Bombyx mori: one gene and its partners. The protein of the gene in region 3 purifies or fractionates together with the protein of the main gene of each other region. This does not show direct contact. Links are inferred from orthologs where the notes say so. Each region holds a gene or a part of one and is shown on either strand. Other genes may lie near its edges. The genes, in order: viral IAP-associated factor homolog, telomerase Cajal body protein 1 homolog, T-complex protein 1 subunit eta and DDB1- and CUL4-associated factor 7.

The links.
Region 1: the proteins of T-complex protein 1 subunit eta (region 3) and viral IAP-associated factor homolog purify together in Homo sapiens (co-immunoprecipitation; 4 studies listed by BioGRID and IntAct, counting the BioPlex papers as one, with this or other methods). This does not show direct contact. The link is inferred for Bombyx mori from reciprocal best matches to the Homo sapiens genes CCT7 and PDCL3.
Region 2: the proteins of T-complex protein 1 subunit eta (region 3) and telomerase Cajal body protein 1 homolog purify together in Homo sapiens (co-immunoprecipitation; 3 studies listed by BioGRID and IntAct, with this or other methods). This does not show direct contact. The link is inferred for Bombyx mori from reciprocal best matches to the Homo sapiens genes CCT7 and WRAP53.
Region 4: the proteins of T-complex protein 1 subunit eta (region 3) and DDB1- and CUL4-associated factor 7 purify together in Homo sapiens (affinity purification with mass spectrometry; 4 studies listed by BioGRID and IntAct, counting the BioPlex papers as one, with this or other methods). This does not show direct contact. The link is inferred for Bombyx mori from reciprocal best matches to the Homo sapiens genes CCT7 and DCAF7.

What each region holds. Positions count from the first base shown.
Region 1 is NC_085131.1:761,103-769,271, reverse strand, and holds viral IAP-associated factor homolog, read right to left. Parts: upstream 4,218-8,169; 5' UTR 4,068-4,217; coding exon 4,062-4,067; intron 3,978-4,061; coding exon 3,845-3,977; intron 2,898-3,844; coding exon 2,669-2,897; intron 2,494-2,668; coding exon 2,285-2,493; intron 1,761-2,284; coding exon 1,648-1,760; 3' UTR 190-1,647; downstream 1-189. Other genes in the region: atlastin, read left to right, coding at 6,595-6,649. UniProt on the Homo sapiens protein: Acts as a chaperone for the angiogenic VEGF receptor KDR/VEGFR2, increasing its abundance by inhibiting its ubiquitination and degradation.
Region 2 is NC_085124.1:10,449,780-10,457,905, reverse strand, and holds the start of telomerase Cajal body protein 1 homolog, read right to left. Parts: upstream 6,330-8,126; 5' UTR 6,193-6,329; coding exon 5,756-6,192; intron 5,139-5,755; coding exon 4,950-5,138; intron 4,602-4,949; coding exon 4,441-4,601; intron 2,967-4,440; coding exon 2,677-2,966; intron 2,456-2,676; coding exon 2,192-2,455; 3' UTR 1-2,191. UniProt on the Homo sapiens protein: RNA chaperone that plays a key role in telomere maintenance and RNA localization to Cajal bodies. Specifically recognizes and binds the Cajal body box (CAB box) present in both small Cajal body RNAs (scaRNAs) and telomerase RNA template component (TERC).
Region 3 is NC_085130.1:19,009,886-19,017,486, forward strand, and holds part of T-complex protein 1 subunit eta, read right to left. Parts: intron 6,605-7,601; coding exon 6,506-6,604; intron 4,775-6,505; coding exon 4,679-4,774; intron 3,343-4,678; coding exon 3,277-3,342; intron 2,800-3,276; coding exon 2,724-2,799; intron 2,302-2,723; coding exon 2,190-2,301; intron 1,735-2,189; coding exon 1,601-1,734; intron 1,147-1,600; coding exon 971-1,146; intron 164-970; coding exon 9-163; intron 1-8. UniProt on the Homo sapiens protein: Component of the chaperonin-containing T-complex (TRiC), a molecular chaperone complex that assists the folding of actin, tubulin and other proteins upon ATP hydrolysis.
Region 4 is NC_085118.1:1,108,034-1,116,367, forward strand, and holds the start of DDB1- and CUL4-associated factor 7, read right to left. Parts: upstream 5,312-8,334; 5' UTR 5,081-5,311; intron 4,918-5,080; 5' UTR 4,897-4,917; coding exon 4,835-4,896; intron 4,420-4,834; coding exon 4,317-4,419; intron 3,518-4,316; coding exon 3,382-3,517; intron 2,864-3,381; coding exon 2,613-2,863; intron 1,567-2,612; coding exon 1,441-1,566; intron 647-1,440; coding exon 465-646; intron 1-464. UniProt on the Homo sapiens protein: Involved in craniofacial development. Acts upstream of the EDN1 pathway and is required for formation of the upper jaw equivalent, the palatoquadrate. The activity required for EDN1 pathway function differs between the first and second arches.

The DNA of each region.
Region 1 (8,169 bases), on a different chromosome or scaffold from region 3:
ATTAAGACAGTTAGGGAACATTTAAAGCCATAAATAGCTAAGATAGATCTAGCCAATGGACGGCATTTTTACATAGATTATATGTACTGTAAATTCGTCGAAAAGTAATTTAAGAATAAAATACAGCTATAATCTATTGCGTTGCGTAGTAAGTATTGTGTGTGCGTATGTCATTGAAAAAAAAACCAATGAACAGCAAACATATTTAATTGTAAATAATCAAATACAGATGTAGATTCTTATCATATTTACACTAAGTCTTCGTTTTATTTTAGTAATTATATATTGGTATATGTGTATTTAAATTAAATGACATGTAATTGACATTAAAGTGTTGCATGGAACAAAAAAAATTTTAACATTTTTTTTCATTTCTTCATAATTTCTTAAAACAAAGGTTTTAATCAATTATGCTACAACAGGTAACCGAGCCGCTCTTGTGTTAGTGCTATTCCTCGTTACACTTATCAGTTTAGATCTATACATACTACGATCTGACATTGATTGTACATAAATACACAATGATTAACCACATATTATAATGTCGTATAGGGTAATTGTCAACGTAAAGCATGAGGCGCTGGTAGAATACTCATACTATGAATTGATGTGCACAAATTGGATCAAAGTCTTAGTTATCAGGGAAGAGTACTTAAACATATAGAATAGCATTTACTCCACGAAAGCTAGAAATACAATGAAGCATTAAAACCCCAAAAAAGTCCCATAACTGGGTATACAAACTGTATGCGCTTGATGAAGTACTAATCAGACTATTTTGTTATTAGCATCCGGTTACGAATTGTATTTATGGACAATGAGTAAATAAACAAATAAATTAACATTGTGCATTAAAAACAAGAAATTAGTAATACTACATCCCAGAAGGCAAAAATTTTCAATATAACTTTTATAAATACAATAAGGCAAAAATATATTCATATTTTCATAAATAATTTCATTCTATTAAGACAGACATGATTCCCGCCTTCGTTATAAAGTTTTGGATAGGCCCTAGTGTATGTTTGAACGAAAAAAATTACAAATTCATTTCTTTTAGTCTCATCTACAATACATTTGTATAAAAATATATTTGTTACTATATTATTGAACTAAAACCTGTAGCCCTGTGTGAGTGACCAACTGCGCTGCGACGCGAGGCTTATTTGTCCTCATTTATAAGAGGTCAGTGAGCAAATTTTTTTTTTTCAAAGGATTAAATAAACAAATGCCCTTTGACCTGACCGTTTAAATCAAAATATATGACTTGAATTTCATACAGTCACATACTTTCGCAAGTTTTGTTGTAACAATTAAATCTAGTTATATCAATTGTTTGCGACTAAAGAAGTTTTAATTTTTATTTGAATCAATTACCACAAAAAGACTGCCATCAGACATGGGTTAACCGGTCTCTGTATATACGCCATTACTATAGATTTTTTTTTACAACGGGGTCCTATATAACAACACAAGTTCACTTGATAATGATGCTCATTTAGCACAAACCTTAATATATTAATTTAATACAGTTCACATAAGAAGCTTTTGATAAGTAAAGCGACAGAATACAGTTTAAAAAAAAAACATACTGTTAGATGTAACATAAAATATAAATTAACTTTAACATAAATTAATATTCTAAAATCACCAGTCATTACTTCCAAGGTCAGTAAACAACTTGTCTTTGATCTTTGGTCGGGGATCTTCTGTTATGCTCGTTTCGACAGCTCCAACCTTACCGAGTATGTATTCGAGTTCTGGAAATTCAAATACATTTATTTTATTACTTTCCACTAGCTCATCTCAATTTGACTATAATCACTAATATCTCACGGTTCAGACTCATTTTATTCATTATATTTTCATTTTTGTCTATTTTTCAATGTCAATATAATTTAATTCATACATAACTCTATAACAACCACTACAAAAGTGAATTGATTCACAAAGTTCACATAGAACTATTGGCCATGCTATATAAGGTATCAAGCTATCAATTACCATCATTTAAAAATTGATTTATTCACAGCTACTTCAACTACAATACACTGTATTGAAGTTCACTCTTGGTGGCAAAACGGATGCTTCTCAATGGAGACTCACATGTTATACTGCTACTGACTAAATTACTACTACTGTATTAAATTTGCTATTGGTGAGAAGCAAGCCTTGTGGTGCTATTGTTATATGATAACAATCACTAATAGTAATCCTTACTAAAAATGTAACCAATTATAATTAAATTAAAAAAAAACTATAAAAATCAATTCTCATAGCTTACCATCACAAGTCAAACTGGTGCCCCTTAGTTCGTGGGACCCCACAAACTGCTGCTTCATTTCGCCCTCAAAGTAAACAAATAAACTAGGCAGATTCCTCTCTGGGAAGTTTGGGATGCAAGTCTGAGCAATGGCTTTCAAGAATTTTGTGTAGGGAAACTTGACTGCTAATTCTCGTAGATGTTGATTTATTAGTGCACATTGTTGTATTCTGAAATTTTTTGATTTATATGATTGATAATAATCATTGGAGCAGTCTGCAGATAAAGGGTCATAATGGCCCAATGACATAAAAAGTCAGTGCTAGGTTATCTAGAGGAAAAAAACTACATACATTGATATTGGTTTATCTAATGTCTTTATATCTTATTCATCGTTCCACTCACCCCTGTTTGTACAAATGAATGACCACCCAAATGTCTTGACCAGCCTTGTTAACCTCCTGCACATAATCTTGACCAGAGACTTCTCGCACTTCTCCGAATCTAGGCTTCTCAGACAGCTTCTTAATTTCTGCTAATCGTTTCCTGCGGTACTCTTCTATAACAGCCTCATCTTCTGAATCTTCAAGTTCGTCCAATCCATCAAGGTCTAACTCAGATAATTGTTTTTGTTCTGTGAATAAGTAAAAATTGTTATTATTGGAGACCATCACAGTCAGTCCAGTTAATTATGTAGTTTATAGTGTTCAAAACACTTGCCAAGGGTGGCTTGAACTCTCGTCCTCAGCATACAACTATCTACGATGGTGTTTTGGCTGATGTTAAAAAAAGTGTCCCTATCAACTGAACTGGCGTTCTACCAATGAAATGAACTCATTAACTATCCTATCAATTCTCTGCACCCAATAGGTGATGATTACTACATTTTTGAGGGAGTCACTTCTTAAATTCGTAGGGTTAATTGTTCAGTATGTCAGAATGGAAAACAAAACACAAAGTTAATTGTAAATTCATAGCTGAACATTTATAATTATAATAATACAGAGTGTGACTAACATTTTGTCAGATCTTTAAGAAAAATATTTCTTTAAACATTAGTAGTGTCTTAACATGTCTTGTTATTCCTGAATATTTTCAATTTAGTTTATATATAAATTCAAGCAAATGTATTTTGATGTAACAAATAATCACCAAAAAATTCATAATTGGTGAATATTCATTATCTATGCCAGTACAAAAATGAATGCGTCCCACTTAACTGTACTTACTAGAGCTAATTTAGGTGATGAGTCTCGCTTGGCTGAACATTTCATAAGGTGTTGGATGCAAAGAATTTTTTTAACAAAATGATTGAATTGCAGAAAGAAAACTATTAATTTGGTGACTGTTTAATTCCAGGATTCATTTAGTGTACTGGTGATGCATATCAATTATAAACTAGACTAGTCTAAAGGAATGTATAATGAATAATGAAATTATAGGTACTTAAACCAAAAAGTTTCGAAGTTCATTACGTTCAGTGTTTCCGGGTAATGATTCACTGTTGATTACTGATGAGCCAATACATATTGCATTTACATCGTAGAGCTTAACCTCAAAAATTCGTATTTGTTGACCTACTTTCAGCTTCCTTTTGCTGTATTGTGTCCTCTATCATGTTCACAATATCGGCCTCCGAAAACTCCGCTTCTTTCTGCGGTATAATACCCATCTTTCGAAGGGTATCGTTCCATTCTGTATCTTCATTGGGGTTCTAAAAATAAACAACAAAATAAAATTAAACTTTTCACTTTAATGTACTGCACATCATTTTACTGATAAGTTCCATTTATTATACCTGCATTTTATTAAATTAACAATTAAAATTCTAATAGTTGAAATACATAAACTTGCTCCAGCTTTTCAGGAAATTTGACACCAGATATTTTTTCCATAGACTTAACATTGAGACAGGCAAAGGAAACTTTGTCATGAAATATGTAGAACAATAGGTACCATGACATGGGGTAAATTGGGATCCTGGGGTAAATTGGGACAAACCTGCGGAAGATTCTCAAAGTACCTGTAGCACGGAATTTACCTAATTTTGTTTAAGTTAATATTTATCAATGTATAGAAGAAAAACCAAGTTAACTATGGAAGTACTAAATATGAGTTAAGTTGGTCCCAAAAATTCGTCAAATTAAATTGAAAATAGTGGTTGAAAAGTGAGTTTTAAAACAGCTTAAAGAACTTTTAAAAAAAGTAATATTATCGTTGTTTTTTCAATAAGATCACAGTTTATATAAGTTTTTAATACACCTGGAAATACCACAACAAACGGTAAGTTGCAATATTCTTATTTTAAATACAATATTTCGACAAAATAAAAAATGTATATTTTTTCCTTTCTTTTTGGGGAAAATTGGGACGTATGTAGGGTAATTGGGAACGAGACTGGAAAAATTAGGGACGAGAAAACACAAAATTGGAACGCCAAAAGACAAAATAGGGATGGCTTGTTAGGGTTGTCACTGATATCTTATAATAGATTTTTTAGCCTATACTATCACTTAATTGCGTGATGTAAAGAAGGTTAATGTGTTTATCAGTTAGTTTATGTAAGTATTATAGGTAAAAGAAAAGTATATATATAATTACTTTTTTTCGCGACATTTACCTTGTAATATCTGCCCGGTCGTATGTTCTTTATAGCAATAAAAAAAATTAAAAGTTAAAAGAACTCAAACGAATCAAAACTTTTGTTATTTCAGAATCTATTCACGCATCGAATCATGATTTTGTTAACATTCAAAACGCACACACAAATAAAAACAGGCCTCAGATTTTAAATGTAACATTAATTAAAAATCCGATATATCCAATTATGAGTGAGTGAATTAATTGAGTTTAGTTATTTAGCTTAGAAAGAATTTCTTTTATTTTTGTTATTATTGGCAGTAATCAGATAAAGCTGTTTTTTTATCTTATTCACCTGATATCTTACTCTTGCTCAAAGATTATTTTGAAAATGTTGATTAAATAAAATTGTATTATTGCATTTCCAGTCCTTTTGTTTTCTATTTTTTATTCTATTTTATCAATTTGTTTCAGAGTTGTGATTTTTAAGGAAATTAAATAATAATTTTCTAAAATATAACATGCACATACTTTTTTTGATCATTGTATTGTTGATTATCATTCACGTCACATCGCTTCGGAATAGAAACCAGCTTAATTTACACTATGTTGTGTATTGTGCTTAAATTATGGATTGTATTCATCATTTCGGTCCATATAAATAATTATATGGCACCTACCTATATATCGCAGTACTGCGAGTTGACAACCCTTACAAATATCCCAATTTAACCCTTAACCGTGTCAATTTACCCCGGACGCTGGGTAAATTGGGACGGCCATTATTTTACCGATTATTTCTTTAAAATGAATAATTAAAATTATGTAACGGTTTTTATCACCTAGGTACGTTCAAGACTCAACTTATTTATTTGGTTGAGCAGTGACTATTTTATTGGAACTATTTTAAAATTCAATCTGAAGGTCGATTTTGTCCCTATTTACCCCATTGTACGGTACCTACTGAACCTGTCATTAAAATTTAGAAAGAGTTTTAGAAGCCATTTTCAGTGAATTTCGTTTTTCCACACACACACAAAATAAATGGTTAGCCTACAAATACTCTACGATTTCAAACTGATCAAAAAAAGCCAAACATTGAACACATTTTTAATTACTTGTTACCACTAACGCCAAATGTTCCAATATCATTTGAAAATAATGTGAAAAACTTAGCATGCAAGGGCTAGATCGATGTCATTTAGATATTAAGAGAACTGAAATGTCTATGAGATTCAGTAACCATTTCATCACCTCGTCTGTCCAAGGAATATGATTCTGAAAAAGAACTAATAAAATCACTACCATCACTTTAAATGAAAAAGCTGGCTACGCCCTCTATAAATAAAGCTTTGATTTTAGCAGTTTTATTTGACACTTTTATCGTTTAGCAAGATTAAATAATTTGTACAAATTACATAAATAAATTATTTGACTCCACAAAAGTAATCATATAATACTCTCTCAATTTCTATCTCTATGTATAATTACTTCCTAAAGATGATTGATTTAAAGGTTCAGGCCATAAAATCATAAAGAATATCACAAAAATGACAGTTTCAAATGGAATCACGACTTTAACCCATAGCTTTAACCGGTTTTTTGTATTTACTCCAGAATTGACAAATGACACGTCTATCAATTTACGTAAATGTCAACTTGTCAATATTGTCAACCAACCTGCGTCGTGTTGGAAAAATTTTACGTCGCTATGTTCAGTGAAGTTAGTGTCCGTAATAAATAAATTGAATATGGCTGAAAACGAAGGACATAAACATCGGGAACGCTATGACCATGAGGGAGAAGGTAAATTATGTTACGATTTTTCTGTGTATAGTCCGCGGTTAGTGTGTTCGACGTCCGCGCGAGGCTGAGACGTCTTCAGTACCCTCGTGTTGCATTTGTGACATTGAAATTGGGTTCTTTTTATAATTGCTGCGTGGATCGTGGTCCTGGGCTGCCAGGAACGGAGCGCACGGTCAACCTCGAGCTTTGACTGGTTCATTAGGCATCAAACTTCGTGAGAATGACCGGGGGATCCGAGAAGACGTTCGACTCAGGTATTTGAGTGTTGTTTGTTTGTTAATGTAGTTATTTCGCTACTCCGGACTTAACGTTTAGCCGCGTGATACATGACTGTTGTTATGTACTAGATTTAACCTTTCATAATTACTTGAACTTTGGTCGCTCGTCGAGTATTGCATTAAACACTTTTTTCGGTATTACTCGTCACTATTTAATACGAGTCTCTCGTATCATTACCAGACCAATCATATGCATTATGCTTAACTCCTTAAAAATAACGTGTAAAACATGCATTAGCTGGAATGTCATGCATAAACTGATAATGCATTGTGATAAGATCTTGTTTTGTAAAACAAAGAAATAAAACACCACAAGGTTATTAAGTGGGAAGGAACTTGATTGTTTTATTATTGCAAGCTGAAACATATGTTTACTATTTGATCTTTAGACTGTTTTTTACATACATATTATTGATTGAATAAGTAAATAAAAAACAATAATTAGGCAAACAATACTATAATCTAGTCATCATTCTTTCTTGTATTTTAAAAAACAGGTAGGCTTGAATTCTTAAAACTAACAAAACATTACATTATTACCAATTTATGAACTTTCATCTGAATTATTCCTATTGATTATAAGGAGGAAATGTTTTACAAGAATGCAATCACTCATGCTTGTTAGGTTTATCTAAAATGCTGATATCATAAGTTGTTTTATGTCCCATGTTTTCAGATTTTCCCATACATTTTTACTCTAAAACCTGTTTCAGAAGCGGTAGTGATAATCTGTTGTCTATCATAATTATCAGCTATTGCATTATTATTCACTTATCTTTCATATTTCTTGCCCTATTTTTAATATTTTATAATTCTTACAAATTCATTATTACATTTCTATCTAGTATAATAAAATTGTATCAACTTTATATCTCTGTGCACATTGAAACAAAAATGATGAACTTAATTAGAGATTGAGATCTTGACTGCTTTCTAGACAAGAAATCAATATTCTCAGTAAATAAGGGTCTGTTTAATAAAACAATACAATGCGAATCTGGGTTTACAATATTCAACTTTAGGGTTGCACTTGATTCCACATTGAAATTTTTCAGATACAAAGCAATATTAAGAAATGCAATATTAAAAGCCATGTCAGTTGAATTCCACAGCCTATCACAAATAATGAAGTTTAAAGTCCAAGTCCTGTGCATACTTACAGTTAGAAATAAAATGAAAACAAAATGTGATTGAACAATTGTCCAAATGAACTGGCACATGACTTTTTTTTATTGCTCTTGT
Region 2 (8,126 bases), on a different chromosome or scaffold from region 3:
TCGTCGACACTTTCATGTAATATTTAATATCACGTGAAAAATACATATTTAATACTATCCTATATAATATCATTATTACATATATATAGACGAAGACCTGAAAAAGAGGTTGCAAATAGATAAGCTTTCAAACAAACAAAACGTTTAAATATTTGAGTAATATATCGTATTAGTTACGTTTCGATTGAACCCAACAATCCGAAACTGATTGAACGCGTATAAGGCAATCGTCATAAAACATTTTAATAAAGATTTACGGACGCCAAAGGTCTCGGCGTGGCAATAAAACTGAGCCGCTTTACAAGGATCTGAGGACTACAGTCAGCAAATCGATCGAGTTATCATATTCCATGGATGACGTCGACAAAACTTTACAAAGAGAACTGATATTTTATTTATGTCTAAGTACGTATTATGAAATAAAATCCTTTACAAAGAGAACTGATAATATGTTATTTATGTCTACGTATTATTAAATAAAATCATAAAGATAATTTTTATTTTTAGTCTATGCACCTTTTTTTGGACAACTTAGTCGTTTCCCCAATGAGTGAACGAATTGGCCTTAGATAATTTTGATAAGCATATACTATCTTTGAAGTGTTTTGTTACGATCAGTTGGCAAATAAAAAGAATAAACTTTTAAAGATCACATTAAGTCGCGGCTATGTGCCAGCAAAAAACAATTACTTTTAAATTCATTACACGTTTTTTGTCGTCACTCCCCTCTTTCTTCCTTAACATTAGTGATAACAGTACTTATATGTATAGAAAAGTACAATAGATTAAAATTGGCACTCAATTTTCACGAACATTCCGTTCCTAAGCCCTTTTTTTTAGAAAAATGGGATAATAATTCTAAGTCAGTCGAACATTTATCAATACAAAATTCTATTTTTGAAGGAATGTTTAAGTATTTTTGCCCGAAAACGGAATACCGTGGGCTTAAATTAAATTTATGCAATTCGCAATTGTGACTCAAAAGTCAAAATTTAAAATTCAGTCCGATCATTTCACTCTCAACACATTTTTCCATCTATCAATGGAAGCGAATCATTCCCGAAATCAATTTCGTCTCCCGATTTTCGCTAATGATTTGCATAGCACCTTTGTTGCAGCTTCGAGGGTAGTTACATTTTACACCGCGTATAACTTACCAAACATTTTTATCAAAATCTGCTCGAATATTTATCATTACAAGATCTAAAAGTTATTAAATTTTACCCTTTAATCCAAAACGTGTTTTGCGGTTGAGATAGGCCAATAGATTGCCAATTTTTCGCACATTTCTAAGCGGACTTTATGCAAGGGCTAGTCTCAATTTATAAGTATTTACATACATATATCATAACTAAACAAAATTTTGGTAGTTGTGATTTAAAAAATAAACGTTTGCGCAAATTTTCATAATCGTCTTTGCTTTCGACAATGACATGTTATCGATCTACTTGTTACTGCCGGAAACCGAATTAGCCTTGGGAAAAGTCCACTATTCGATTGTTTGATACTGTTAAGTAACGAACTAACGTGTTTATCAACATAAAATTATTGTATGTAGGTCATAAACGGAATGTTTTATTTTATTTTTATTGCTCAAATGGGTGGACGAGCTCACAGCACACCTTGTGTTAAGTGGTTACTGGATCCCATAGACATCTACAACGTAAATGCGCCACCCACCTTGAGATATAAGTTCTAAGGTCTCAGTATAGTTACGGCTGCCCCACCCTTCAAACCGAAACTGATTACCGCTTCACGGCAGAAATAGGCAGGGTGGTGGTACCTACCCGTGCGGACTCACAAGAGGTCCTATCACCAGTAAAATGTTAAATGATAATAAGTAGACCGGGAACCCCAAACTTCGTTATTTTCAACTTTATAGTTGAAAACCTTTCACTTTAACTATACTTGTAAATAGGGGGTATTTAAATAGGGTAGACAATATAAAAAATATTCTTCATATCTACATATCAGACTACTCGATAAATACTATTGAACCAAAAAAAATCACAAAGATTTTTGACACTTTCAGTTTGATTGCCAGCCAACATAAGAAAAGAGAAGGCTTGAAGGTCAGAGTCAACATAAGTCATGTAAATTTTTTTAAAGTGGAAACTCATCTATCACATTCATTTTTTCACACAACATCAACTACAAATGTATAAATTGAAATACATAAAGATTCATCTGCTTAAACACAACGACGTAGGTTTTTATTTAATTCTATAACATCCCCAGTCCACCAGAACGTCAAACAATTTTCACTGTGACTAGAGTATCGTATATCATACTGGTTAATAGAATCATCAGAACTAGAATCTACGGCTTCATTATTCGTTTTCTCACTCAAAGATTTTATCGGGTCTGTGAAATGATATTGACCAGATCCGGTAGCCAATATGGGTCTATATGGATGAATTGATATGCTATTGCAGCAATCTTTGTATAAAGGAAACTGAAAATGAAAAAGTCAAGTCAAAAATAGAGTTTAAGCCGTCAAATTAATTACCATGTAAGCAATATATTCATTAAATAGTAAAATAGAATCTCATCCAGTAGCTGTACAATTGTGATGTCATGCAGGCTTCAAAATTAAACTATTTATTCAATTACTCTTTTTCAATAAAAGCTTTTAAAATAAAGCACACAAGCTATTAATATAATTAAAAATAATACCTTATAAGTAACATCATCAGTTGTATTATTAACTGGATCTAAACTAGAATGCCAATCTATATGATCAAGTGACCAAACTTTTACCACTCCATCTGTACCACCCGATACCAAATATTTTCCACAAGGTGATATATCAAAATAAATTCGTTGGTTCGTATTTACAACTCTACTCAGAATGTTTAGTGGTTTCCTATAATACCGTATGTCCCAAACAAACAGTCTGTGATCTTTTCTTGCACCAGAAACAAGCTTCAAAGTACCAGGAATGAATTTCATGTGCGTTACTCCACCTGAAGCAATAGAAAAAATCAAAACATTTCGCAAAGCCAAATGAATATTCATGAATATGCTAAATGATTATGAATGCACTTAAAGGATTTAAGGTTTCTGATAAAAATATATACTTGTTGTGCTATATATTATTATATAACTTAGTCTGGCCATAAATACTGTTACATAAAAACTTTTCTTTTTTTTCAACTTTTTAATTATTTTGTATTTGGAACATGTATATTATTTTAAAAACTTCTTTCGATTTTGCGCCATTTCAGATATTTTTTCGTGTTCATTATCAAATGACAAAGGAATGTGGTGTTAAGGAAAATAGGATTGCAGTGATCGCCTTGCGCAAAGTGGGTATTGAGCCGTCGGTCATATTCCAGACACTTCAAATGCTAGGTATCAGCCATTATGTTGGTACATCGAACTATCAACAGATAAAACAACACTTCGTCTGTCGAAGACCAGAAAAGATCGGTGCAGCCGCGTCCTGTTACAACTACAAAGGCTTAATGCTGTTAAAGCCAGAATCCGTCGAATTAGGCAGCAAAATATCTTATAGCGAGAAATGAAGATTCCCGATAGGACTCTGTCGCGTATTATAAAACAAGACCTGAAGCTCGCAGGATATACCCTAAATCAATCTTTATAATTAAAGTGATTGGATAAATGAAAATGCCTTTTGATGCGATATGCAGGTGAAAGGCACAGAAATATTCTCTTTACTGATGAAAAAAATTTCACTATTGAAGAACACTGCAATAAACAAAATGATAAAGTGTACACTCACAGTTCTAAAGAAGCTGCTGAAATGGTAGGAAAGGTACAAAGTGGTCATCATCCTGCATCAGTGATGGTTTGGTGGGGCGTGTCTTATCAAGGAATCACAAGCTATATTTTTGTGAAAAAGAAAGTGAAAACTTCAGTCAATGTGTATCATTGTCCATGTATCCATGTCTTGGATTATGCTGTAAAACCTCTCAGCAATACACTTTTTAAAAATATACTGTGGACTGGCCCGCATGTCTCTGCACCTGGTCACAAGGCAGGAACTACCCAAGCCTGGCTTGAAACCAATGTTCCAGACTTTGTAAGAGCTGAAGTCCAGCCTCACCGAGCCCAGACCTCAACCATTAGACTTGAAATTATGGTCAGTTTTAGAGAACATGGCCTGCTCTAAGCGATACAGCGACATTGAGTCTTAAAAAACCTTTGGAGCAAGCAGTGAAATTTCCCTTGGAAACAGTGCGCAAATTCATAGTTTCATGGCCAAACAGATTAAAGGCCTGTATAAAAGCCAAAGGTGGCCATTTCAAGTAGAATATTTTTCTTTATTTTTTGCTGACTTCATTTCTTTTTACTTCATTAAAAAAAAAACATTTTCATTTGAAACAGAACTTATGGCTGGATTAGGTATATATAGGTATTGGGTATATATATAACAATATGTAACAAACGTTACACCAATTATTCAGTGCTATTTACCTCCATGTCCATACATGTCCCCAATTTTCTTAGTACCAATTTCTGATTCATTATACAAAGTTATTGTTGTATTCCAAGAACCAACAGCAACTAAGTTATTTTGTGTTGAAATGCTAGATGCTGAACTAGAAATCTTTTGCTCAGTAAATTCTCTGCCAGGCCTAAAAAATTTACTGATTAATATACAAGCAAATAAAATAGACCTAGAACTCAGGCAGGATTGCAACAATTATGTTGTTGAAGTCTATGAGCTCTAGTAATCACTTAAAACCTAGTTGTATACCAATCAAAGAAATAAAAAAATTGTCTATCTTGAGCACATTACTAACTTAATGAGTATATTAAAAGATTTTACTTCCATACAACAAATTCTCTTTATATTAGTATAGATACGATAAAAGCTTCCTGCCTTGATATAAAGTAGTTATTAGCAAGTCTAAGCTTTGCTTAAATACCCACACTGAGCATGAAATTAAAGTTTTAAGATAAATTTGATAATGAAGAATTACCGCTCAACATCAAAAATTCTTAAATGCTTCTTATAGCCAGCAATGATTTTTCTACCATCTGAGGTAAAGCTAACTGATAAAGCTGGTTCCATTTCATCTACTGCATTGAATCCTCTGTATGAACATCTGAGTGATCCATCAAATGCATCCCACATTTGTATGGGAGAATTTTGTTTTGTTGTTAACCAGCTGTCAATAAAATTATTGAGTTACATGAAAGTTAGGCATTTCTTAAGAAATCTATTTCAGCTCCTTATTTTAAAGGAAGAGAAATTATGTTTACTGACAAACTAAAATTGATATTTTATCATAATCTCAGCCTGTCCACTGCTGAACATAGGCCTCTCCTACTGATGTCCACTATGTCATCAGCCCATCTGGTACACGGCACACTGCACTTGACAGTACGTGGTCTCCATTTAAGGATTTTTCTGCCCCATCGGCTGTCAATCTTCGTACTATATGGCATTCCCACTGCCGCTTCAGCTTGCTAATCCTAGGGCTATGTAACAAGTTTGGCTCTTCTATGGATCTCCTCATTTCTGATTCGATCTCATAAAGAAATACCAAACATAGCCCTCTCTATAGGTTGCTGTGTGACACTAAGCTTCTTAAAAAGTTCCCTTGTGAAACACCATATCTCAGAACCGTACGTCATCACTGGTAAAACACATTGGTTGTACACCTTTGTCATAAGGCACTGAGCATTTTTTTAATTTTTAGATTGGTTGATATTTAAGTAACGATATTTTATATTTACATCAATTCCATTGTAGACCAAATATTGAGTTTTAAATCTCACTCACCAACAGGAAGGGGGATTTGTGCTGTTCATGAATGGGTACCAACAGAAGTCGTAAACTGAACCTGTTTCTTTTAAATGTATCACTGATTCTAAGACATCGATTATACGATCGCCACAAACAACGCCCTGGTACAATTCACTAGGAAGCTCGGTAACATGAACACCATCGTTATTGACAACACTTAAGCAACAGGTTCCATCTGGGGACCACTTACATCCACGTAAATAAGGCTGTATATTCTCATTAGCATTACGACCCCTTGACCACGAGCAAGTGGACAATTCAAGAAAGCTTTTGCTTGTAAATAATGCTGGATATTGAAAAGCGTTTTCTGTACACGCCGAACCCAATGTAAGTTCACTCGGATTTTGAGTTATGGTTTGAGGTATATTTTCAGCGTTTATTCTTGATGGTGTCTCCATTGACCAATTTTCCATAATAAAGGTAGATCACAACACAATTTGTGATTATGTATAACAAATTGACAATTATTCCGCTCACGGTTTCAAAATAAAAACAAAATCGTCGTTCGTCAATCGACCTTACCGCCTTACTTTTTTTTAAGGGATTTTATGACCTGGTAACTAAGATCTTTAGGTCATGTCTTATATTAATTTATAATATTCTTATTTTTATGAAAAATGATAATTATATGGAGTGAAATGAAATGAAATGAGATGATATGGGATGAAATATAATCTCGAGATCGGGAATGATCAATCACAAGAACGGTCGTACATACATAACAACATAATTTTTTTTTGGGGCCGGGGGCTGAACCTCCCATGAGGTTCCCCCGCCTAGGGGGCACGCAGGGTATATGAGACTTGACGATCTGCAGATGTTGGAAGCAGACCGTAGGTCCAAAATTATTTAAGGACCCTACCGCACTAAACGACTCCCCTGCCCCTTATACGGTTGCTCTTCCACAGTATGTTCGACGACGACAGCGACGACGGCAATGCGGACCGCATCGCGGACCGCTTCCGAAGATGCGTCGTCACATGCCAGCACGCTACAGTGACAATAGCGTGTGGCGCAACCTCGACTACCTCAGGTCGCCCCGTGAACATCACCGGGAGGAGACTGCTTCTTCACAGGGGTTGGAGCTGGACGAACACCCTCCTCCAATTCCCGGCTCGGTGGCGGTGGCCCGGCGCCGAGAGGAAAGAAGAGCTCTCTCTCCCCGTTCCGCCGCCTCCTTCTGCATGATGGTGGACTCACAGAAGTCGAGCATCGCCTGCCAGGGCTCGTCGCTGCCGCACATAGTCCGGACCTATTTTTGCAACGAGGGTGCGGCGCTGCTTCGCGAAAGCGGGGCAGTATGCGAACGTGTGCTCCGCCGTGACACCACAACTATACATTAACCCACAGACACAACCCTTGAGTTTCTCACCGGATCTTATCAGTAGGTCGCGATTCTGATCCGGCAATAAATTCAATAAAGCACTACTCTTGCTACAGTAGATGTTAGCAAAGTCTCTCAGGCAGGTTAGCACGGAGATTTTATTATATGTTTTATGTATTTAAATTCAGATCTCACACAACTAAAGGCGCTGTGGCGTGGCTTGTTTTATTTTAAAATATCATCAAAATTCACTCAATGGTTGTACACGTCACGCTTCAATTAATTCAAAATAAATTAACTGAAATGCAGTCAAAAAAGTTACTTTGGAAAGTATATTATCTCGCAATTTTTATTATCTTCGTTCAAGGACGGTAGGTATAACCTTTATTCATTATTGATCAAATTAGTACATTGATGAAAGTGAAATATATTTTTATAAAGTATTTTCAGTGATTACTCGTACAGTAAACATATGAAAAATAGTTCTAATCTTTTGATAATATAAGTTTAAAAACTTTAAGAACATTTTTAAGTAATTAAAACTACTGTTAAGGTATAATCTCGCGGTTTTTATTGTCATCATCAAGATCGTAATCAAGAAAACATCATCATTAAAATATCGTCAGTGACCATGAAAACTGTAAAGTATTCAAAAATTAAATGTCGTATATTTAATGTCAGTAAAAAACGTGAGATTACATCGTAAAAGTAATTTTAATTGTGTCTATAAATAGCGGAAACGAACAAAAATACTTACTTTTATGTGATAAAGTTCGCAATAAAATAAAACCTAAATATCGCAGGGATTCTCTTCTGTTTTAGTATATTTAATTATTTGTGAAAACTGGTTGTGTATTTTGCTATAAGTTGGTCGTAAGACGTTATTACAAATTGTAATTTATTATTAACGACATAACTAATTAACAATTGCTACTGCCTGCTAGATCATTGATCAAACATAATAAAAAAGAAATCAATGCATTCATTGCGTTAAGAGATAGTTATTGAAAATGGAAAATATTT
Region 3 (7,601 bases):
GCACATACCGGTCCGCAAAGTATTGTGTGGCAACATCTCCGATGGGCAGCTTGCTGAGGACCACATTTGCTCCGCTAGCATGCAAAGCGGCGAGCTTCTCGTATAAGATCTGCCACTCAGCATCCACCACCTTCTGATATTCCCTCACGTTGTTTACTCGAACCTTAATGTGGGATTAATACAAATAAATAATTAAGAAGTATCAACAGATATATTACATACACCAAAATAGCATTTTATACAATTTTTGTCTGTTTGTTCCGGCTAATCTCTGGAACGGCTGGATCGATTTTGACGGGACATTCACTGATAGGTAGCTGATGATATAAGGAGTAACTTTGGCTACTTTTTTTAGACAAGTTTCACCCCGCGGCGTCACTCGCGGTACGACAATAACCGCGGGTAAAATCACGGGACTCGGCTATCAATAATAAAATTTAATGTTTCCGAAGCGAAGCGAGGGCGGGTCGCTAGTATACAATAACGAACTTATTTATTTTTATCTGTGTTTGCTGCTTCTGACTCATTACATAATATTACAATGTCGTGGCCTAAGGGATAAATAAGATTCCGTCCGGAGCATTCGTATCTAGCGATGCATCGGTGTTCCAATCCCGCAGGTGGATACAATTTTTCTAATGAAATATGTACTTAACAATGTTCACTATCGACTTCCACTGTTAAGGAATAACATCGGGCAATAAAAATCAAACCCGCAAGATTATAATTTGCATAATTGCGCGCGGGTAGGTACCACCACTTAGCCTATTTTTGCCGTGAGGCAGTAATGCGTTTCGGTTTGAAGGGTGGGGCAGCCGTTGTAACTATACTGAGAACTTAAAACTCACATCTCAAGGTGGGTGACAGCATTTACGTTGTAGATGCTATGGACTCCGGTAACCACTTAACACCAGGTGGGCTCCACATCACTATTAACGTTGGTAACATTTAGATATTGTAAGATCCCCACCTCGGCATTGTCTCTTTCAGCTTTCAATTCCAGCTCAATATTGAGGAGTGCGATCTTGCAGTCTTTGTATGTCTTCGGCTGCATCTCAAAGCCAGCGTAACTGAAAGTTTTCTTGAACGCCACTCCGGGAACCAGGAACGAATCTTCAAGAGCTCCACCGGGAACCTTCTTGATTCCTGCAAGAAGCAACATCTAACGTTTACAAGTCTAATAGTTATAAAAAAAATAATTCTCCCACTGTATTGTTCATTGACCTCTGAAATGTGTAAGTGTTCATTGCTCGTTGCATTATTTTTTACCAGTTACATTATCTGTCTTTTAAAGTAAGATAAAATTATGTGTTCATTTTGTTAATAATAGTCAAAACATAGGAAAGCAAAAAAGAAAAAAAAACCTAAACTGCGCCATTTTGACAGAATTTATGAGAAAAATACTGGTGATACCAATTGTTTACATAAAATATATTAACTCAATTTCGAATATTTTTGGAAATTGTACACTTTTAATGCGAAAAGAGACGTATTTAGATCTAACTTTGAAGATGAATATTGATATCCATTTGTCCGGTAGTGATTAACAAAATTGGCTTCAGAAACAGTATAGTCTCAACCCAACTTCCTAAAAACTCACCAATCATGTCGAGAGGCAGAAGTGGAGTGTCCAAAGACAGGACAGCATCAACAACAATCTTAGAGAAGTGATCCTTCTGTTGATGAATCAGTTTCGATGACATCGCTGTTGATGCACACTTCAATAGGAGATCTCTGTTGATATAAGCATATAATTTACAATTAATAATTTTTGGACTGAGCGAAAGAACAAAACTGACTGATGATTAATGGTTATTACTACCCATAGACATCATATGTGTATGTATGCCTTTGTATCATATAATGGCTGTCCTACACTTCAGATGGGATGAGTGACTGCTTCCCAGCATGACGGATGACCGGGGCACAGACTCATTACACACCGTACTACCAGCCAGTCAAACCTTAATGGTTTGTCATAAAGCCTCATTTCTACTATCACGATCCACACAACCATTTCAGTAATTGGATCCGTATGTTTTAATCATCGGCTGTCAATTATTTATTATATAAAAGGTCATTTATTAATTAAAATCATCAACATTGTATACAAGACAATTCAAATGTCTAAACTCTAATCAGTTAAAGATCTAACCACAAAAGTAATAGAAACCTATTATATTCATTACCTTTGTTCCTCAGGCGACTTATTATCAATTTTCACAGCTTGCTCCTTGATTTTCTCAATGGCCAGTCTTGACGCTGTTCTGACTGCTCTGATCAGAACACGAGGGTGAACACCTTTGGAGGACAAAATTTATATATTTATTTTTATAAATGTACTAGCTGACCTGGCAGACTTCGTAGTGACTCAGTCGATAAATAAAAGACCTAAACTTTTGTATAAAATAAACTTATAACAAACAAAAGGAATCCATCTGACGGGGGACAAATCAAAGGAAAAACACAAAATTGTTATTTTTATTTAATTCAGAGCATTTTCATAGTTATCTACCCTTTAAACCTTCTCTGGACTTCCACAAATAATTCAATAACTAAATTAGCCAAATCGGTTCAGCTGTTCTCGAGTTCTAGCGAGACTAACAAACAGCAATTCATTTTTATATATATATATAGATTTTTATAAATGTACTATTTGTTAGAATACTGCCAACATCCAGGTTCGTTCACCAACTTCATAAAAAAAGAGACAAAAGACTGACCTTCTTCAACAAACGGCTTCAACCTCTTCAGAATTTCACCGGCCAATATCACTACCGAGGTGGTTCCATCGCCAACCTGGATTAATTTTCAAGTGTTAAATATAATAAACCAAATATTGCCGAAACCGTTTTTATGATTTTATTCTCATCCATAAATTAAATTTTCCTCAATTAATTAATTAGGAAATTGGATCCGTTTGTTTAATCATTGAATTTTCTTGAGATGTTCACCGAAATGCATGATAGTACTTACGTAATGTAGGCTTAAGTAACGGTGATCATCTAGACATGATACGATATCATAGAAAATAATCAAGGAGTATATTGTGTCAAATACATATTGTAATGTTTTTTTTTATAGATTGTATTTATGCATAATTAAAAAAAAAAATTAATATTCTGCACTCCTTCTCTGTCCATGCAAAAAAAAGAGGTACAAAGTTTTGGCTTCACGTATTAATGTATAGATATTCTATTTTAGACACCAATACGTCCATAGTTTGCTCTCATTTAACAATTTTATGAATGAAGGTGTCCAAGTTTAGTACATTACCTCGGCATCTTGAGACTTTGCAATATCCACAAGAGTTTTAGCGGCAGGGTGAATGATATCCAGTAGCTGAAAAAATGAATTACATTCTCTTACTTCAATTGTAGTAACATAAGTAAAAATGTAATTGGCATTACACAAATATTCCCTAAATCTCACTTAAAATATGTGATAGGAAGACAATAAAAACCAAAAAAAAGACTAACCATGTTTTTTTTTTGTATTTTTATTTTTGTATACTTTTTGTTTTTTTTTAGCTCTAAATGTTTAAAATTGTAAATTAAACGAATACAATAGCTTTAAAATTTTTTTTTTATTGCTTAGTTGGGGCTCACAGCCCACCCGATTTTAAGTGGTTACTGGAGCCCATAGACCTCTACAACGTAAATGCGCCACCCATCTTGAGATATAAGTTCTAAGGTCTCAAGCATAGTTACAAAGGCTGCCCCACCCTTCAAACCGAAACGCATTACTGCTTCACGGTAGAAATAGGCAGGGTCGTGGTACCTACCCGCGCGGACTAAAAAGAGGTCCTACCACCAATCATTAAGCAAATTATAATTTTGCGGGTTTGATTTTTATTACACGATGTTACTCCTTCACCGTGGAAGTCAATCATGAACATTTGTTAAGTACGCATTTCATTAGAACAATTGGTACCCGCCTGCGGGATTCGAACACCGGTGCATCGCTTCAATACGAATACACCGGGCGTCTTATCCTTTAGGCCACGACGACTTCATAAGTAAGTCCTAAGTACGACTTAGAAGTAAGACAGAGTGTACAATACACCTAAGAGTTCGATCTTTGGCCTGTAGAAGGTGGGTGAACTCACAATCTGCCACATGCTCGTGGCATTTAAAGCTGGAAAAGTGATTTGAGCTCACTGTTATACTTGAGAACCACATCAGAATTATATTTGAAACAGTAATCATTCAAGTAATTTCGCCTTTTCACGTTAAAAGTGTAAAATTTCCAAAAAATATTCGAAATTGAGTTAGTATGCGGAATCATTTGGTACCACCAGTATTTTTCTCATAAATACTGTCAAAAGAGCATAGTTTAGTTTTAGTTTTTTTTTTAGTATACCTATGTTTTGACTACTATTAACAAAATGAATACATAATTTTATCTTACTTTAATAGACAGATAATGTAACTGGTAAAAAATAACAAAAATTAATGTTGCAAAAATTATTAATATTAAAAATATCACATGTTAAACTTTAAGTAAGTTTGGCGATTATACAGTTTCAATGCGAGAAGATGATTTGTTTAGCATAAAGCCTCATTTCTACTATCATGATCCACATGAACATTCAGTAATTGGATCCGTATGTTTTAATCATAGGCTTTGAAAATTACACAGTCAAGCAGTCCTAGTTTCCAACAGCAAAAGCCTCTACCTTCATGATCGTTGCACCATCGTTTGATATAACCGCCTTTCCATTGTGATCTACAATCAGCTTGTCCATACCACGGGGACCCAGGGTGGTTCTGACCTGTAACAAGAAGGGTTACTGAAATACTGATCAAGTCAGTACCTACTATCTTAAACAACAAAACATAGTCCGCAACTTGAGCAATATGGCGGGATGCTAGAGATAGACTGTGTGGTCTCAAAAGTTTCTACTGTACTCCCTTTTTTTTTTTCGGACCATGGCCAAGAACCTCCTACGAGGTATGTGGGACTCTACTGTACTCCATAACTCGTCTATTCATAGTAGTAGTGCAATCCTCTCCTCTAGTACCGTAACAAAACATTACTCGATTATTTTATTGTGATAGTGTAGATATAGTCTTCTTTCTGGTCGTTCCCTCAATGCTCTTCTTCTAGATATAGTCTACATGCTACATTATCCATATATATTTATTGGATGTACCATTTTATCACTAACACTATTTTGAATAAAACAGCAGTTATGTAAAAACATGATGTCCATAGGAGGCATGCAGCTAGATGATAATAAAATTACTGTCTAGTTTATTTGTTTGAGCGAAACCGAACGTATTCAGTACACCTGTACTTAATGTAGACTTGTGTTAGATCAACTCATCCTTGTATGGGCAGACTTAAAAAAACTCTGTCCATAATACATTTGTAAAAGAGTAAGCCTATTTTGATCTCCTTCCTCCTGATATTCCTCGCCCCATTGATCTCAAATCTCTTCTTTCCCTTGTCAACTCCCCTTTCGTTTATATTCTTAGTTCATTCATTAACCATAATAATATTAAGCTGTAGTTTGTCTGTCTGTTATCGAACTAACCCCTGTATATATATTGTGTGCGTCTTATTTGTTTTAGGTACATCAACAGAGATCCTGTCATCAAACATTCTTAGCTAGTCACTTAATTCTTAGTGAATATCTGTGACCTTGCTCGTTCACGAAGCCCGCTATAGAAAGCAGAGTATTAAATACACTTGACATTGGCGAAATCTAAAAGGAAACGCCATAAACCAGAGAGATAGATAGATAGATTGGTAAGCCTATTTATTGCTCATTCCTCTCAGTGATTTGCAGTGATTGAAATTGCATTTTTTTTATCCCTACCTATGCTGATAGCATTGAGAGGCTATTTCAGCTTCTCCTTGACATGTAGGTGAGCTCACGGGGCCTAACCCGGGAGTTTTGCTAACACTGGCCCTAGCAAGAGCAGTGCTTCACAGAATCCACCAACGGATCGGAAACGCGACCCACTGAGAAGATCCGGTGAAAAACTCATTAAGCTGTCTATGGGCAAATTCACTCGTCGAGCCCTTCATCGCAAGCGACGGGTGCGATGAGGATGGTGACCAGTGCTTGTGGTACCTAAAAGTACCGTTAATGGATCGGGCGGATCCGTAATGACGTGTTTAGGGCGACGCCGACTGTTTACCATTCGGTCTACAGGATCGCGTATGTAATGCCTGTATCGCAAATCAGTGGTATGGGCATGATGATTAAAAAGTATTTCTATAGCTGACCATAAGCATTGGGTGTGATCAACCCTCAAACACAGCCCACTGAGTTTCTCGCCGGATCTTGTCAGTGGGTCGCGTTTCCGATCCGGTGGTAGATTCTGCGAAGCACGGCTCTTGCTAGTATCAGCTACGTCATCAGGTTTGAGTACCCCGGCGAGCTCACCTACTAATTAAGGCAACACTGATATAGCCTCTCAAGACTCTCAGCTTAGGTAGGAAAAAAAAGGGTGTAAATGTAAAACCGTTTTCCGGTAGATCCCTCAATACTCACCGCATCGACAACAAGTTGACAGGCATTGATGTTGGAGACGAGCTGGGGCTTGCCCTGCGTCTGGTCCGTTCCCTCTCTCAGTAAAAGTATTTGCGGTTGCTGTGAACATAAATCATCCAAACTTTTAAGACTATAATTTAAGCTAAGCAAAATCTAAACAAAAACACCACGAAAGATTGGAAAAGCACCCAAACAGTAAGGCTGCCGCCTTGAAAAAACGGAGTTACAGTAAACGGCTTAAGAGAAAAGACGTCATATAGTTCAATGACCAATTTTTTTATTTAGAGTAGATGGCTAAATTTAAGCTACAATGATAAAAGTGCTGAAAGTCACAACTTGTTAAAATTTCTTTCTCATTAATGATTACATTAACCCTTTGTACTCAAGTCAAGTAGAGGTACTATTAATCACTATAATCAAGATACTACTAGCCTATCTCTCTTTCCTATTGTCTGTAATGTCTTTAGTTTATATATTATAATTAATTTCCCTGTATAATCTCAATATCAATATAATCACAATGTTAGATTGGTGAATAAGTCATGGCCCTCTTGGTTTGGTAAACTCATCAGTGACCGTGCTACATCATAGCTCAAATGTCCTTACCCACTCAAGACTTAGAAGTCAGAATCCCAACTGTACTGTAGAACAGCTGTTCTAGCTATATAAAGCTAGCTAAATAGCTATTCCAGTACTAACACCAGTCCATTCTAACGTCTAATCACAATATAGTATATCTTGTACTCTAGATCTCAAGTCATGACAGTCATCGACCCATTTCGGACACAAAGCAATCATATCTGTTTTAAAGAATTCTAATTCACTAGCTTACCTAGTGTTACCTCACTAGCCTACTAAAGCTTAAGGCAAAAAGCATCAATTTAAAGCAGTATCTAAAAGCTCCAGAACTATTAACCAGCTTAAGCTCCTAAAGTTTTTTTTTGGCTAAAAAACAAAACCTATATGTAACTTCAAAAGATGAAAATGAGTGCAGAGGATTTAAAAAAATTATATTGAATAGCCTCATATTTGTTATTGTGATCCACACAACCATTTCAGTAATTGGATCCGTTTGATATAATCATCAGCTATTCAT
Region 4 (8,334 bases), on a different chromosome or scaffold from region 3:
AGCATACCTTACGGACTGAATTAGAACAAAAGTTGGTGTTTTCGGCTGCACAGTCTAGTTTGAAGAGTTCTAAGAACTTGACGACAAGAACATTGTTTTTTTTATTGCTTAGGTGCGTGGACGAGCTCACACCCCACCCGGTTGTTAAGTGGTTACTGGAGTCCATAGACATCTACAACGTAATACGCCACCCACCTTGAGATACGAGTTCTAAGGTCTCAGTATTACATTATCTTACAACAGCTGCCCCACCCTTCAAACCGAAACGTATTACTGCTTCACGGCAGAAATAGGCATGGCGGTGGTATTTACCCGTGCGGACTCACAAGAGGTCCTACCACCAGTCATTACGCAAATTATCTTTTGCGTATAATGCGCTGAGGAACACAGTCCCAGAGGAGGAGATATCGGATGGGCTTGTTTAGCAACCTTGATGCTCCTACTTTACTACCTGGCCTACGAACCTGTGCGGCGCCCAGGCGATGCCGTTGACGCACGCCCTGTGGTTGTTGAGCCTGGCCACCGGGGTGCAGGGCACGCGCACGTCCAGTATGATCACCTCGCACGCGTCCATGGCGATGGTGGCCAGGTAGTTCGGGTCCTGCTTGTTCCAGGCCAGGCGGAGCAGCGGGGTGTGCTGAGGGTCCTGCGTGTTACATTACAGTCTGCCATAAGACTTGTTATGTTGACAGCAGCTTCTCAACATAAACACGATCAGACCAGTTCGTGGCGCTCACAGGCAAACTGCACGGGTCCTCACAGACGACTGTTTTGCAGCCCGATACTGCAGATCTGTGATATCGATCTTACTACCTACAGTGAAAATTCCGCAATTTTGCCGATTCTACTTTGCTGTTTACGGCCCTCGTAGTGCTAAAGGGGTAACCGGAATCCATAGATGTGTACAAAGTTAATACCACCACCCACCTTGAGACATGAGTTCTAAGGCCTCACTTTTCACAGTACAACAAGAATAGGTAGGGTGGTGGTACCTATCCGTGCACATTCACAAGACGTCTTACTACCACAGTACATGGTCAACTAACTCGGACTTAACGCGGCATTCCTTCATTGTGTTAGTCATTCGTGCCGCAGGCCTCTTGAATCTTTATCTTTGTCGTATCACTCTTGTTAGAGCGATCGTGGTCGTTATTCAGCATTATTGCTGTGGGCAGATGTTATGCGCCTCACGAGGAATCGCCACTCTTCCCGGTTTGTGGTGAGCCTGGTACACTCAGGCAAACAGCCGCCAATAGCTGACTTGACCTGGTCAGTTTATCGCATGTGCAACTTTCCACGCGGTCTGGTGTCTTCTACTTTGCCCTGAACGATAAGGCGCTTTATGGAGTCATTTACTCGCCGGGAGACATGTCCAAATAATGATAGTATGCGCCCATGCACGAGCGCCGAAAGACGCTGCTTACTGCCTCCTGTACTTACCTCATAAATGATGGTGGAATGTTCTAGATGCCTGAGGTCGAACATCCGGACGGATCCGTCGGCGCCCACGGAAGCGAACATATCTCGCCCCCCGCCGGCCCTACTGAACGCTATGTCGTACACTTCCTGCGCACAAACACCGGCATTAGGGCTGCCGTACGCGAGAAGTTGCATGTGGCGGGTAGCCATCACACGACACAAGATATTTGACTGATGCCCGAATCTCGCTTACGACATTTTCAAGCTTGCTATAGCTTAATAAGCTTGCCTATATGCAGGTTCCGAACGACCACATTCGGACCGTCGAACCTTTTTTTCGTATACCCCCACATGTATATAAAGTTTTGTTCAGCCACCTTTCTCTAAGGCGAGTTAGACAAGGACAAATTATTGTTCAAGTAACCATCACTTTACAGTGTCTAGCAAGATGTACACGCAGAGTGCATCTTGTATTATGTCAAGGTGTATAAAACCAGATAGGGGCGTATACGTTCGGCTTTGTTTATTATTATTTATTTAATGCTTAGATGGGTGGACCAGCTCACGGCCCACCTGGTGTTAAGAGGTTACCGGAGTTCATAGACATCTACAACGTAAATAACGCCACCCACCTAGAGATATGAGTTCTAAGGTCTCAGTATAGTTACAACGGCTGTCCCACCCTTCAAACCGAAACGCATTATTGCTTCACGGCAGAAATAGACAGGGTGGTGGTACCTACCCGTGCGGACTCACAAGAGGTCCTACCACCAGTTTTGTGTATGCTAATAGATTTTTAATGGAATCTCCAATAGAATAAAATTCTATTAGTATCTGTTGTGAGCATCCTTGAATATACTTCACACTACATGCTTATGATTACATTAAAACTTAAAATGTTATGTGATCATTATGAAATCGGGCACGTATGTAACATGCCCATTTCAATCCTGCAATTCTTTAGTTTGATAAATATGTATCATGTCAAAATTGTAATAAGTGATTTAAACATATTTGAATACATTGATTTGAAAAAATTTTTTTTTCAACATATTCTTGTAACCTCGAGGGGTTATACTAGATTCGCAGAACGAAAATTTTTTGAAGACACCAATAATCTTCAGATAATCATTAACATAAATTTTGGACACAAATGAATTAACAAGATCTTCTATTAAATAAAAATCACAAACCTTATCATGAGCGATCAACTGAGTCTTCACGTGCCCAGACACTTCATTGACCCTGCCCAAGACCTGTCCAGTCTCCAAGCCCCAGATGGTGCAGGTCGTGTCAATACTACTGGTGCCAATGAGGTTAGGATCCACTTCGTTCCAATCAAAGGATGTAAGAGGAGCACAGAAGTCAGAATTCTTATTATTATTTAGGACACATTCGAATAATGTGTACGGCTCTCCGGCACGCCATATGCGTAGATAATCACCTGCAACATAAGGCACCATTGTGAAATTTTATTGAATAGTTTTACTTGAATTTGATTATTTATCAAAACTGTTTATGTCAACGAAAGTTGCCTCTATTAACATCACAATCATTCATATTGTACTCATAGGGTATCACTTATTTTTATTTATGTAGATTGATTATTATTGTTTGCATGAGTGTACCAGGCTCACCACAAACCGGGAGGAGTAGCGATTGCTTGTGAGGCGCATAACATCTGCCCTCAGCAATGATGCTGAATGACGACCACAACCGCTCTGACAAGAGTGATATGACGACAAAGGAGATAGACAGGCTCAGTTAAGTACAATTCAGTGGTTTATGGAGCTCAAAGACTATCATGAATACTGTTTCTCTAGAGAGAGATGATATTGTAAGCATTATTTTTGGGAGTATATGTTTTTGTCTATGTAGCAGTGTAAAAGTAAATTCAAGCCTCATTATCTCCATATTAAATATGGTAATCTTAGTGCTAACAAACTGCTACCGAAGTCTTACCGCTAGTTGCCAACAAGTCTGGATACACCCCCTTGCTATCAGGTATCCACATAATCTTGGTGGTCGGGTACGGGTGATCAAAGGTACTTTTTGCAGTGAACTCACTTGTGTCTTCATCAAGGGAAATTATTTGTACCTAGGATTTAAGAGTTTTATTAAGCTTATGTCATGCACAAGGAATGCTACAATACAGTATGTGTGTTAAATGAAACCATTAATATATTAGTTTTCACTAAAAATCCTTCAATGTAGTGAAAACTAATAAATTCATTTATATTAGGTAATATAAAACAATTTTTGGCAGACCCCTTTTTAAAATGAACTGATACCTCAAAACCCCATACCCAAATTATTTAAAAAACCCTATCCCTAGTTCTTTTCCTATTCATACAACATACTCACCAATTAAAACCTTTGCGGTCAAGTTATTGTGTGTCTAAGTGGGTTATATATCTTGGGAACTCCTGGTTTACTTACTATATGTTTGTATATTATGCTAAACAATTAACTAATTAGTAGTATGTAGTTGAGTTTTTACTAATTTAATGGTGGAATTAAGTAAGTAATATTATGCACCAATAATTACTTAGAATTTTTTTTTTCTTGCTGTATTTGTCTACTTGGTCTATAAGAACAGCCTCCACAAACTAAGTGCTCCTACCAATTCTGTCAACTACTGAAAAATGAACAACAACAAAAATATGTAATTTATTGTGTATTTTCTTTGGTAATATTATGCATTTATAGATTATAAGGCACACACCTCTATCTTTTATAATTCAATGAGTGGGAAATTTTTGACAAATTGACTTCCCTAAAATTGCATTAGCTTTGCATGATTCATTATCTGGGCCTTTATACTGTATTTACTTAATCCTGTTGGTATGTTTTGTAAATTACTAAATTAATATAATAACTGCTCTGTAAAAGCTTACTTTATTGTTGTATTCCTCAACAAAACTGCCCAGGGCTAACCTGAATCTCTTGTCAGGTCTGACAGACCAATTCATTGAGTATAATGGCCATGGCGCTTGGTATCTGTAAAAGATGTGTGACATAGAAATGCAGCTGTCTAGCTTATAGTGTTTTTTTTTTATCACAACTTCGTTTATGAGAATTTAACCTAACTGTATGAACAACTCAAATTTCGTACGTAATTATCAAGATAAGGCTGTTTTTGCAATTTGTTAACATCACTTTAGTTCTTTTCGGGAATTGTGAAAGGATTATCTGTATATTTCAAAACATCTAAAGCATTAAATTAGTAAGTCCCATAATGCCTGCTTGATTGTATTACAAATGTTTCGAAACATAGGAATGGGTACAGAAATAAATAACACGCTATACCTAATTATAATTAGCAATCTCAAAATTGGGTCAACTCTGTATTTTATACTGTCAATTATTTCCAATCTGTTATTTATAGTTCATATTGTGTTGTAACGTTACTTACTTGTATATTTCTTTACGTTTCGTGCCTGAACTGGTACTCGAACTGCTGTGTGGCATCGACATCACTGATAATGTTTAATGTTTCTGAAAACACAAATCAAAATGATATTTATATGAAATTTTAATGAATAGTGACTTTTTTATTTTTTTTGTCTTTCAAGTACGTAAGTTTTCATACCTTTCAAGTTATATTTTTTAGATTTTTACATATGGTTTTAAATTTACAAAAAATATATATTTTATGTACCTTTGCCGTAATATCACAGAATGGCCACCAAGCGGCTTTGTTATGTTTGATTTAAATATACCTATTTAAATATTGAACTGTCCATGAGCTTCTGTACCTTCAATTAATGTATTTTATAATTGGAAATTAACTAAAAACTTAGTTTTGTGTGGAGAAAACAAGCATGAAGCATTATTTTTACAAAATTTGACAACTGGCAAGTAGGACAATCTGACATTTTAATTTTTTTTCGTTTCGTTTTTTGACTAGGCAACGGGAATTTAGCATCTGCGAGTAAACCTCATCACTACATAGTATAAAACAAAGTCGCTTTCTCTGTCCCTATATCCCTATGTATACTTAAATCTTTAAAACTACGCAACGGATTTTGATGCGCTTTTTTTAATAGATAGAGATTGAAGAGGAAGGTTTATATGTATAATAACATCCATTAAATAGTGGAGAAATCAATAATCAATTACAGTTTCTGAAGCAAGGGCGGGTCCCTACTTTAGTATATGTCGAATCTCTGTTAGTTGTTAAAAAAGTGTAATGAAAATTATTTTATGAATGAAAATGAAATAATTTAAAAATAAATTAAATTGGCTGCAATAAGACGAAATTGGATTTGAAGACATATGCCTGGTAAAAATTCAATAATGAGTAAGCTACCTATTCGAAACTGAATGAGTAGTAAAACCAGGCTATGTATAGAAAGTTAAATAAACGACAATATCCACAGATGTCCACTGTTGAACAAAGGCCCCCCCAAAGCCTCGACACAACGACCGGTCCTACACTGTCTGCATTCGGCGGATTCCCGCTATATTTAACAGGTAGCTGGTCTGCCTTGTGGGAGCTCCACCCAAGCTACATCTTTACACAGTCGCCACTCGAAAGCGTTTCAGCCATAGTGGCCATCTGTTCTACGAGCAATGCTCTGCCCACTTCAATCTCACAATTCCTTCGGCTATGTCAGTTATTACGGTTTTCCTGCGAATTTCCATATTCCTGATCTGATATCGTAGGTAAAAAGGTTCTAAATTTCTTACGTTTTCTATTATTGTGTATAATATTTTTTTATTGCCTAGATACCTGGGCAGTCTCAGTTTCTTAATTAAAAATTAAGGACAGACTTATTAGTTTGTATAACTTTTTAACTCATAACTATGTTAAAGATTATTATAGATACTTAAAGTGCCCGAATTTAATTAATAGCAATAAAGTACACTGGCAATGTAAAACTTTTTATTAGGCGCTTTGTTCGAATGCCATGACGTTTCGAAGAGCGTCTGTCTGCTCGCCTGAGTTGTGTGTTCCCCATTTCGTGGTAACTAGAAACCAGATGCAATAGAAAACGGAACGTGATTACATGATAACAATCTTCAAAAATGAAAACGAAGGCCCCAATTAATTTTTTATAGCCTAAATCTGTAATAAACTAAAACTAAATTTTAAAATAAAGAAACAAAACAGTTAAAATATAACATATTATGACTGCTTTGTCCCATAATGATCCACGTGAGTTAATTACACCTTCCATCGATGCTGATCAAATTTCAGGAATTGTTAAAGTAACGGATAGTTCTGTATCCGTTATCCGTATTCTACGGGTTTAGAATGTCGGCCACTTAGGTATACAAAGTTAAGTCTATTGTATCATTAATATCATTCCAAGTTCGGAAATCAGCAAATGCTATCCGAACCAAATCCATAATGGATGCTATATTATTATTATTATTATTTATTACGCTGGTAAACTATTATGTAACTGGTCCCTAATGCAGTGGCCAGTGTGGTAACAAAGAAAGCGTGACTCGTCCTTAACCGAAGTAATGGCGTTCATGCGCTGAATTCGTAAGGTCGGGTTAGCGTAATGGAATGCGCTCTGTTATACGGGACTTTGAAAAACTCTTTTTAAAAAAGATTTTATTCACTTTGAAGATACAAAATTCTACTTAGAAAGAGTGTGGCTCATAGTAACGACGCAGAGTGACTGACATCGAGCCAACGGGGCTCTAGTATATGTTAGGCCGGAAAGTGCTGCTAGAGGCACTTTTCGGTCTTAGGTAAATTAATTAATATACTAGTTAATATTATAACAGCTCCCCCTTTAAGCGAAAACTTACGGCTTTCCGAAGTTTTCGATGATTATTTTAATATAAAGTTTAATGGATTCTTATTCGCGGTTGGGTATTTAGTTGAATATTTTCTTGTGGGGGTGTGTTTATTTGCGTCGTGTTTTCGTTTGGTTTAGATTTACGCACAAAAGCCACGCACTTTCTATGACAAAAATAATAACATATAAAAATAACAAATAGTATTACAAATAAGTATGTGACAATGGAATGGGGAGTGCTTATCGAAATAGATTCGTTCTGAGATTTTAAATGTTTTAAGGTTTGTAGCATGTTATCAGCTTTGTTGATTATTTGGTCTAAATTATTCGATTCTAAGTTATGCAGTCCTGTAATAGATTCGGTATAATTATAATTTTCAAACACTGCTGGGTTACAACATGTATCGTTTACTAAATTGAATTCTGAGTGTATGTGACTGAATTTATATTCAGGATAACTTTTACTTATTAATTTTATGTTTTTGCAGAATCCAGTGCAGTTTGGTTTCAGGGATAATATGCCTGTTCCTGAAACTATATATTCGGTAGTTTCGTCTGTGCACTCAATGTTGAGTTTAGTGGGTTCAGATAGTGTGAAGACCCATCTATTATTATTTAAGGATTGCCATATGTTGGCATGGCCGTATAAAAATTTAGTTTTACACTGTTTCGGAAGTGATTTCAAGACTTTTGTCATTATTTCTGTTTCACAGATGGGGTAGTCTTGTATATCTATTTCATCTAATTGTTTACAAATATGAGTTTCCTTATTAATAGATTTACATTTAGAAAGATTATCGAGTTTAAGATACTTCGATTTTCTCTGATTTAAGGCCACATAAGAACATGTAGGTAGTATTAGTGCAAAAGATTTGGATGTTACATTATGGGGTACTGGTATAGGTACTGTCTTATACAAAGTATAAGTATCAATGAGTACTAGAGGAATTTTAAGACTAAATATAAGCTTATTTTCTAAAATACATGTAATAATTTCCGAGAGATTTATAAGTACATATATGTTTTCTAATTCTAAACTTACAGCTAATTCCGAATATCTAGGTAGATATTTAACATTGTTAACAAGGTCATAATACAAATCTTTGGGTGTTATGACTGATGGATGTAGCGTATTGGTTTTTGAAAACAAAATTGA